Linked DNA regions of Arabidopsis thaliana. The protein of the gene in region 1 interacts with the protein of each later gene in a pairwise test. Each region holds a gene or a part of one and is shown on either strand. Other genes may lie near its edges.

Region 1 (5,233 bases):
CGACCAGGGACTGACACTTTGGTCTTCAGCGCATTACCCAATAAGCTCAATGGCTTCACATACTTCATTTCCTGATCAAAAGTAAGTGAATCAAACTTCCAAAACACTTGTTCAAATCAAGACTAAAAATTCACATATCAATTGCATAAATTTGAGAATTATTGTACAAAAAAAACTTTAATCAGACCATCAAACAAACATTTCGAAAAAGGGTTTTAGAAATTAATCAGAAAGTTTAAATCTTGACGTACTTTAAAGGCGGAAACTTTCTGGCTCCGGAGCACGGAATCTGGCGAGAGGAAACGACAAATGGTTCTGCTAAATGTCTTCGCGATTGAAGCAAGCAAGCACAAACCCCAAGATTGTGAATTAGAGATGGACCGGAAAAGGTTTATTCCGGTTAAGTTCGAGACTTCACCGTCTAATCAATCTATACGATGCCGGTGATTATCAGGGTTTTGGTTTTACATTATACCGGGAACCGGTTAATTCGAGGTGGTTTAACTGGTTTCCCAAAATTGATTCGGTTTAGCTTAAGTGAAAAGCTCAAGTAACCACCTCTCCTGTACTTACTTGCAGGCAGAGGATCATATTAGTTTCATTGCTTATACAAAATTGTCAAGCTTTAAACATAAATATAATAGCAGAGTAAGGAACAAAACAATTCCAAAAGCAGAACTCACAATTCCAAAAGAAGACAAATTCAAAGATTATTTTCTGCAGAAAATAAAGATTCAAAGAGCACAAACCAAAAAGATTACAAACACTTTTCTTTAATGAAAAACTTGAGTAGAGATTCCCATCTGATGAAGAACACTTGACGTCGAAGAAGCTGACCTCAAAGCCTCAGCTAATGGTCCTCCCATATTGTTGTGGTGATTCCCTCCATTGCTCCACCAATTCATTTGCTCCCTCTCATTGTTGTTATTTCTCATGTTCTCTTCTTCTTCTTCATTGCCTGTGGAAAGTTTTAGAGAAACATCTGAGGACGTGTTGTTACCGGGCATGGAGATTGAAAGATGACAAGTGGATGAGCTCATTGGACTGGAGGTAGAGTCTGATGATCGTGGCCAATCGTCAAAGAAATGCCTCAAGATGTGACCATCGTCTGATCTTCCATTGCTGAATCCACTGTTAGCTTCATATGGCCTCTTGTTGTTGTTGCTTTCTTGTTTCATCTCTGAAGAACAACTGTGACAGAGAGGAATAAACATAAACATAAACATTGTCAACAAAAAGATCCAACATTTGAACAATAATAAGTAGACTGATCAATTCAACAAAATGGTTAGAGAAATAATTTAATCAGTCAAATGTGTGTGTTAATAAGAGGAAGTGGTTGCAGAATCTGAGAGCTTTATTTTGTTTGGCTTCTATGCAGGTTTGGTCAGCTTTCACTGAGGTCCTACCATGTCATTATTTCAAATACAACATAAGTATACATATCTCTTTAACTTTCTCTCTCTTTTCTATTTCTATGATTGAAAAGTCTCACCCAACTAGTAAATAAAATTAGATTCTATCAAATCCAACTGTTATCATTATCTCTCAACAAAAGAAAGAATAATGTTTTTATCACAAAGTATGTATGATAAGTCTCTCTTGTCACCCTATTGCCAACATTACCCCTTTCTTCACAGCATTACTTCACAGTGAAATCACTATTTCCCTAACAACAATATTTGTAATTAACCAAATCTACTAATGACTTTAATTAAACAGAGTGTTTGTGTTTTTTTATTGTACCTTTGTTGATGACTAAGGTGGAGAGGTTGAGATGAACCAGAGGAGAAGAAGTGGTTGTTGTTTGGTCCATGACCAAGCTCCTCACCTAAGACAAAAGAAGATGCGGTTGTTGTGGCTGTCGTTGTGATGGTGGTTGTGGCGGTTTCCACAGGCTTTCTTGAACGGTTTCTTCCACGGTGAATGTGGCGGTCACAATACTTGTGGCCCGCTACAACATCCCTTGAACATCTCCATTTCTTGCCGTCAGTTCTCTTACACCTCCCTGGCTCAGGATCCATTGCTCCTCTTCCCCAATACCCTGTTTTTTATTAAGTGTGTGTTGTTCATTAGTAACAACAAACATAAATCTCACTCAAGACATTGGTTACGAAATGTACTTGTCTGATTCTATCTATGTTGCTAATAGATCTTCTAGAAATAGGCTTATCATACACATAGGGTTTTAACTCCTTGCAAGGTTGCAGAGCAGCCTTATACTTATTTTAGATCTTGGAAATATAACTCCAACACCAAAACAAAGGGAATCTTTTTTACAAAGAAAGACTATTTCAAGGATAAGAGAAGCATAAACAATAGAGAGGAGAGAGAGACTGACAAGAAGGTTGGTGATGAGGAAAACTATGTTGAAGAGGATGGTGAAGGAAATGCATAGGAGATTGATGGAGGAGACTTTTCTTAATAGGTAAGAGAAGCTCTTGAGGAACAGAAGCACCAGCCAACATGTATCTATAGATCAGTGCTTGTAGCTCAAGTTCTTGCCACTGTGCCCAGCTGAAGAAGTTTCCCATCTCTACATATATATGTAACATAGAAACGTCAGATTAAATATCAGCAAAAACAACTTCAACATTAGAGTGAATAAGTCTTGTCCTTTTAAAACAACTTACTGAGGAACCTGGAAGAAGAAGAAGAATTAGAAGAGTCAGGAGAGAAGCAAGAGAAAGAAGAGGAAGAAGTGGGTTCAGGGACAAAGAGAGGAAGAGGAGCCGCAGCAGCAGAAGTAGCAGTTTGGGACTGAATCTGATCAAAGAAAAAGTTTGATATCTTAGTTGCAGCAGAGCCTTGTTCTTCTGACTCATTCTGCTGCTGACTTCTCCATTGTTTCAGTTGCAAGTCCATGGAACAAAGAGAGAGTGAGTGAGAGAGAGAGAAAGAGAGACAGACAGAGAAATGTGTTGGTTGCTTTTGGGATAGTTTTTTTACCCTCACTTCTTTTGTTTTTAGAGAGTCTGGCTTAATAAGCAAAGACAACCACAACAAAAGTCTTATTTGTTTGGCTTGTCATGTAAATACCCAAAATAAAAAACTTTTTCTTCTTCACTCTTTTGTTAGAGAGAGCTAGAGAAAAGTGTTTAGACTATGAGACAAGACAGTTGATAGGATAAACAAAATTAGTATATAATATTTGATTGATAGGTTTAATAAATTGTTACTTTATGTGATATAAAAATTATGTAAGTCAGAAAACAAAGAGAGAAAGCACTGCAAGATGCAGATGGAGAGATAGTAACCTGCAGTGTTTATGTCTCACTGCCTTGGAAATATCACTTCCTTTTTTTACCTCATTTTAATATTCCTTAAGTAGGTTAAAGAGATGCCTATTATGATATTGTTATTATGTTTTTTTATTAAGGATTCATTTAATGTGATGTAGAGTAACCTTCAATTTTTGTCTTACAGATGTCATTTGTCTCAGAGATTGTGTTACAAATGTATGAGATTCTAACTTCTAAGCATGATTAATCATTTGGGTTTTGACTAAATAGTCTCCATTTGCAGAGAGCTACAATACAATCTCAGCTCTATTTACTCTCTTTGGTTAGTAAGTTTTCCAAATACTTTACCATTTTAGTGGTTTAACCATATTTGTCTTTTAATTTGTAACCGTCATTACTTTTCTCATCTGTTACAATATTATTGTTACTCATAAAATATTATGTAACGTCTGTGTTTGTTTGATTTATTAAAAAAAAATTATAACTTCCTTATATAAATGTAGAAATGGACATTTATCTTTGTGTTATCTTAAAAAGACATGGCTAGCTAGTAGTATATGTACATATCTAAACACATCGAAAGGAGGGAATCATATTATTACCAGAAAAGGCCAAGTAAACTTGGAAACATTTGTTAAAATGAAGTTAGAAACATTTATTTGATATCTTCACTTGGCTGAATAATACAAAAGACATTTATGATTTTCAAAGTATCTTTATTTGGTGGTGCCAAAACAAAAAACGATAGCATTATTTTGTAGTTTTGAGGAAATAAAGTAATAAATATGAGAAGGACGATAACGATATTTCATGTAGGAGTGAGCCACAACCAAAGACTATGATGACTATTGAGAGAGTTTCTTGAGTTTTCTTTTCATTCATTCCCACCAGTTTCGGCGGCATTTATATTTGCACTAAGAAAAATATAAGAAAAACTCAATTCCTTAAGTACAGTTCAATGTTATGTACACTTCATTTGCTGTAAATCTTGTGAACCAAATAAAAAAGAAGAGGAATATCATAACATAACACCCAAAATAAACTTTGTTTTCAAAATATACCATAGGTTCTTTTTGACTTTGTAAAATTTTCCTTTTTGAAAAACAAAAATCTTTGTAACAAGTATAAAGCGGCAACTGAATTTAATAAACATTTTACGTTTTTTTTTTTAGAATAGAAAAAATATTTCGCAAATGGCCTAAACAAAATATTAGCCTCTAAAATAGAAATATTTTTTGTTGATACTTGATAGTATAATGGATCTTGTGCACTAATGATGGGTCTTAACTAATAAAGTAATAATGGATCCTGTGCACTAATATTTTGGGCCAGAACTTGTCATATACCAAAGATAATGATATCGAAGGAAAACAAACTGAAAGCAAAGTGTGAACGTAATGACATATTGTATGTCTTTTTTCAATCATGAACACGAACAAAGATTACATGCAGATGCAGTAATACTAATGGTAACAAAACAACCAAACAAATGTTGATTATCTAGACTAACTTTATATATATCTTGTTTAAACTTTAACCTACATGGTTATTAGGTTATACATGGTAAATGCATTAGTTTAAATTACCATACTACATACATTTTTATATGTTGCTCATGTTCCAATTGTTTCGTAAAACCAAATAAAATGACAGAAAATATATAGTATTATTCAGTGGACAAGGGTTGGGTCACGTGCTAAGATTAAGACCAGATGAGATCAGAAGAGGGCCCGGCCCAAACTCTCCACCTACTCACATAGATTTGAAAATCACGGGAGCTGATCCGAACCGAGCCGAGCTGGAGTAAAGATGGAGCCGGACAACGAAATCATAATCTGAGGAGGCTCTCTCTTTAGTTTCCGACGAGGGCACAGACTGTGGGTCTCACTATGTAATGTGAGATACCAAATATATTCTTTTCACTTTTTGACCAAAAGTTACCGTCTGTTTACGCACTATGCCATTTACGTTCACTTACGATGGGCCGTAAA
Region 2 (4,642 bases), on another chromosome or scaffold:
CATAAATTCATATCTTTAATGATGTTATACATATTTTCTCTCTATTCTGATGTTTCTACTCTAACATCTGGTTTACATTCAGCCCCTTGCAAATCTCAAGAAGATGTCTTTGTCAAGTTCATGGTATTTAAAGAAACTTCCGGATCTGTCAAATGCTACAAATCTCGAAGAATTGGATCTGAGAGCTTGCCAGAATTTAGTAGAGCTTCCTTCCTCCTTTTCTTATCTGCATAAGCTAAAGTATTTGAATATGATGGGATGCAGAAGGCTAAAAGAAGTTCCACCTCATATCAACTTGAAGTCTCTTGAATTGGTCAACATGTATGGATGCTCAAGATTAAAAAGCTTTCCAGATATTTCTACAAACATCAGTTCACTCGACATATCATACACTGATGTGGAAGAACTACCTGAATCAATGACGATGTGGTCTCGCCTACGTACTCTCGAAATATACAAAAGTAGAAACCTCAAGATAGTAACACATGTGCCCCTAAACCTAACATATCTAGACCTCAGCGAGACTAGAATTGAGAAGATTCCAGATGACATCAAAAATGTTCATGGGCTGCAAATTTTATTTCTAGGTGGCTGCAGAAAACTCGCATCATTGCCAGAGCTTCCTGGTTCGCTCTTGTACTTATCAGCAAACGAGTGTGAATCACTTGAGAGCGTATCTTGCCCTTTTAATACTTCATACATGGAACTCAGCTTCACCAACTGCTTCAAACTAAACCAAGAAGCACGCAGAGGAATTATTCAACAATCATTTTCTCATGGGTGGGCATCCTTACCTGGAAGAGAGTTGCCCACTGACTTATACCACCGATCTACCGGACATTCCATCACCGTTCGTCTCGAGGGCAAGACTCCTTTTTCTGCATTCTTTGGATTTAAGGTTTTCCTCGTGATTTCCCCTAACCATGATGCTGAAGAAACTAGCAATTCTCCCTTATTTTGTCCTCGCATTGGCAAAATCGGTTGCTCCGATGACGAAACACCTATTTATATTATCCCCAAACCTCGAGCAGAACATCTAGTTATGTTTCACTCTGACTTGCATAACAAGGAAAAATGTCATGAAGTAGGCAACGAGATACTGTTTGAATTCAGCAACATATCCGACACCTATGAGATTATTGAGTGTGGTGTCAGATTCTATACAGATGAACAGGTGAAATCAGTGAAAGGAGAAATGAATATGAAATAGACCAAGTTTGTGAAGATGAAAACGATTGGAGCTATGAGTTTGGACCCGTGGAAGCATTGGAATGCTCTAAAAATAATGGACATAATGATAGCCTAATCTGTACTTCGAACGAAGACAAGATCGAAGCCAACAAATACACAGATTGTTGGAGTTGGCTCATCATCTGTTTTGATGTCTCCCATATTGTGAGAAGCATCGGAAGTTTAGTTTGGGGAGGAAGATGAGAGAAGCAAGAAGGAGAATATCAAAGTGGAGAAGTCGAACGAATTTGCAAGTGAGGAAAGAATATCTGTTTATACTTTACAATGACTTGTTTGGCTGCTTCACTGAGTTGGATATGATGAGTAGTAGCATCATACTGTTTGAATTCGGATGCAGCAAATATTACTGAAATGCAGTGTACGGATCGTGAAAACTGACAAAATTGATAGTAGCAACAACAGTGAATTAATTTGGGCCTGAAACTATCCGTTTTAAATGGGCTTTTGAGCCTTTCACATTATCTATGTAATTTTCGATTTTATCTTCCTTTTCTTTTCACCTTCTCGACGAACACACCTACACAAAAATCAATCACAGTCTCTGTCTCACTCGCCGGAGTTTCGGTCACTGCGCCATCTCCGGGGTCGAGTTCGTCGTACTTCATCGAACTATGAACTCTCATGATATCGATGATCAGTTAGAAGCAGATGTATACAGTAACTTGCCTTCTCGAAATGATTCTTCAACAGGGAGGAGAAATCGAAACTCGTGTAGATCGAAACACTCAGAGACTGAGCAACGAAGAAGAAGCAAAATCAATGAAAGGTAAATAATAAGTGTTCAAAGTTTGAATTTTTATCAGATTTTCTAAAAAGGGTAACAAGAAAGTTTCGTAATTTGTGATTGTTGGTTGGTGGATACAGATTTCAGAGTTTAATGGATATTATACCTCAGAATCAGAATGATCAGAAACGAGATAAAGCTTCTTTCTTGTTGGAGGTTAGTAAAATTTATAGTTTTGAACAGAACATGTGTTTCAGAGAATCAGAATGATGTTTGCTTTTATATGTTGTCTCAGGTTATAGAGTATATTCACTTTCTTCAAGAAAAAGTTCACATGTATGAAGATTCTCACCAAATGTGGTATCAATCCCCAACCAAATTGATTCCTTGGGTATATTCCTTCTCCTATCTTTGGTTGGTTTTCTGTTATATTGAATCGTTTTTGTTACATTTTTTTAGAGAAACATGGTTATTGTGTTAAGTGTTTCATCTTTCTTGGTATTTTTGACAACTGTTTCATGTAACTTTGATGCAGAGAAATAGTCATGGGTCTGTTGCGGAGGAAAATGACCATCCTCAAATCGTTAAAAGCTTTTCAAGTAATGATAAAGTTGCTGCTTCTTCGGGTTTTCTCTTGGATACGTACAATTCAGTAAATCCTGATATTGACTCAGCAGTTAGCACCAAGATTCCTGAACACAGTCCTGTTTCAGCAGTTTCATCGTATCTACGTACCGAGCCTTCGCTGCAGTTTGTTCAGCATGACTTTTGGCAACCAAAAACAAGTTGTGGAACAATTAACTGTTTTACAAATGAATTGTTAACATCTGACGAAAAAACATCAGCCAGCTTGTCCACTGTCTGCTCACAAAGGTAAGACATATGTAGAGCAAAATAAAGCTTTTTTTGTTCAGTAATTAATTCATTTTTTTGGTAGAAAGTTTGGGTTGGTATATAGTTTCTCACGGATGTACACTCATTTCCTTCCTGTCTGGCTCTCCTTAAACAGTGGCTTACCTTTTTTGGATACTAAGAGAGAATGATATAATACAAGGTTCCAATGATGCCTCAGCTATTTGCGGAGACTTCTTGTTTGCCTTGGCTATGAAGTTCTGTAGGATAGAGTATGAGATAAATGCTGTAAACTTGGTAATTGTTAGAGGAAAAGATTTTGCATAACCATAATCCAAAGTTTCTCTTTTGAATAGTGCTTCTCTCTCCTAAATAGGTAGTCATTCAAACTGAAGATCCTATCTGCTTCTGTATTTGGAACAGACTCAGGGTTCTAAAAACGGATAACTGGAGGAAATAAAGATGGAGAGATTTGATTGAAAACTCTTGTTTGGTTTGATTGTGAACAGGGTACTTAACACTCTAACTGAAGCACTTAAGTCATCGGGTGTTAACATGTCAGAGACCATGATATCTGTGCAGTTAAGCCTTCGGAAAAGAGAAGATCGCGAGTATTCTGTTGCTGCGTTTGCTTCTGAGGTATGCCTGTAACATTTTTACAGTGGAAAAGAAAAAGAAGTCTACTACTCTGCAAGTAATTCTTATAAAAACATTTCTATGTATTTTAATTTGTATTTTGATGCTATGTATCTTTTTCATTAGGATAATGGTAATAGCATCGCTGATGAAGAAGGGGACTCTCCTACTGAAACTAGAAGCTTCTGCAATGATATTGATCATTCCCAGAAGAGAATAAGACGATAAGATCTGGTTTTCTATTTTCTATGTTATGACAACTGTTTGATAATTTTGTTACTTTCGGTGAGTCAGGATCAGTAGGTGTAGATACTACTTTTATCGTGCTGCAACTATTTTAAATGATATAGTAAAAACTAAGTAGAATGATGTAACAAGTTTCGCAAATCTATAACAAGAGTTTGCTCCATTTAATGGTACTTTAAGTATATGGTCTCTTAGATATATCACTTCTTGCCCTTCTATTTCTCACACTATTAACCGGGAAATTATTTCGTGCTTGTTGACATGTCTGTATCAAGTAATGCGTTTGATTTGCAGAAAGGAGTCCTTGTTTTCTTGTGTCTCAAGCTTGATTTGAGCTAGAGTATCTAGATCTTTAGATTCAAGAACAGATGCAATATTCTGTAGAAGTTGAAAACTCATCTTTATTCTTTAACCTTATGTAAATATGACTGTCTATACAACAGATAGTTCATCTCTCGACTAAATGTTTGGTATATATATGTATATATTATGATACTCTTGTTCGATTAAGGAGGCTGTTTGTTTGCTGAAGGAGATGAAGCAGGAGGAGGGCCAGGTTTGTTTGGTGGTGGTAGGAATGGGAATGGAGGAAATGGAAAGATCGACGGAGGTGGAGGAGGAGGAGGAGGAGGTGGTGGTGGTGGATTTAGGCCTGGAAAGATCGGTGGCAGTGGAGGAAAGAGAGACCATGGTGGAGGAGGAGTGGGAAGAGGAGGACGAGGCTGAAATGGGTTTGGAGGGAATATCGATGGAGGAGGAGTGGGAGGAGGCTGAGGAGGATGAGGCTGAAATGGGTTTGGAGGGAAGAACGACGGAGGAGGAGAAGCTGGAGCTGGAGGAGGCTGATGAAATATTGGAGGGAAGAACGACGGAGGAGTTGTGGGAGGAAGCTGAGGAGGATGAGGCTGAAATGGGTTTGGAGGGAATATCGAT

The links.
Region 2: the proteins of GRF4 (region 1) and BIM3 interact in a two-hybrid assay, tested with the Arabidopsis thaliana proteins (one large-scale study listed by BioGRID).

What each region holds. Positions count from the first base shown.
Region 1 is NC_003074.8:19,615,404-19,620,636, forward strand, and holds GRF4 (growth-regulating factor 4), read right to left. Parts: upstream 3,105-5,233; 5' UTR 2,866-3,104; coding exon 2,634-2,865; intron 2,537-2,633; coding exon 2,342-2,536; intron 2,045-2,341; coding exon 1,747-2,044; intron 1,192-1,746; coding exon 774-1,191; 3' UTR 574-773; downstream 1-573. Other genes in the region: AT3G52905 (Polynucleotidyl transferase, ribonuclease H-like superfamily protein), read right to left, coding at 1-68. UniProt on the Arabidopsis thaliana protein: Transcription activator that plays a role in the regulation of cell expansion in leaf and cotyledons tissues.
Region 2 is NC_003076.8:15,557,221-15,561,862, forward strand, and holds BIM3 (BES1-interacting Myc-like protein 3), read left to right. Parts: upstream 1-1,680; 5' UTR 1,681-1,862; coding exon 1,863-2,017; intron 2,018-2,115; coding exon 2,116-2,191; intron 2,192-2,270; coding exon 2,271-2,366; intron 2,367-2,510; coding exon 2,511-2,848; intron 2,849-3,336; coding exon 3,337-3,466; intron 3,467-3,589; coding exon 3,590-3,691; 3' UTR 3,692-3,906; downstream 3,907-4,642. Other genes in the region: AT5G38850 (Disease resistance protein (TIR-NBS-LRR class)), read left to right, coding at 83-1,210.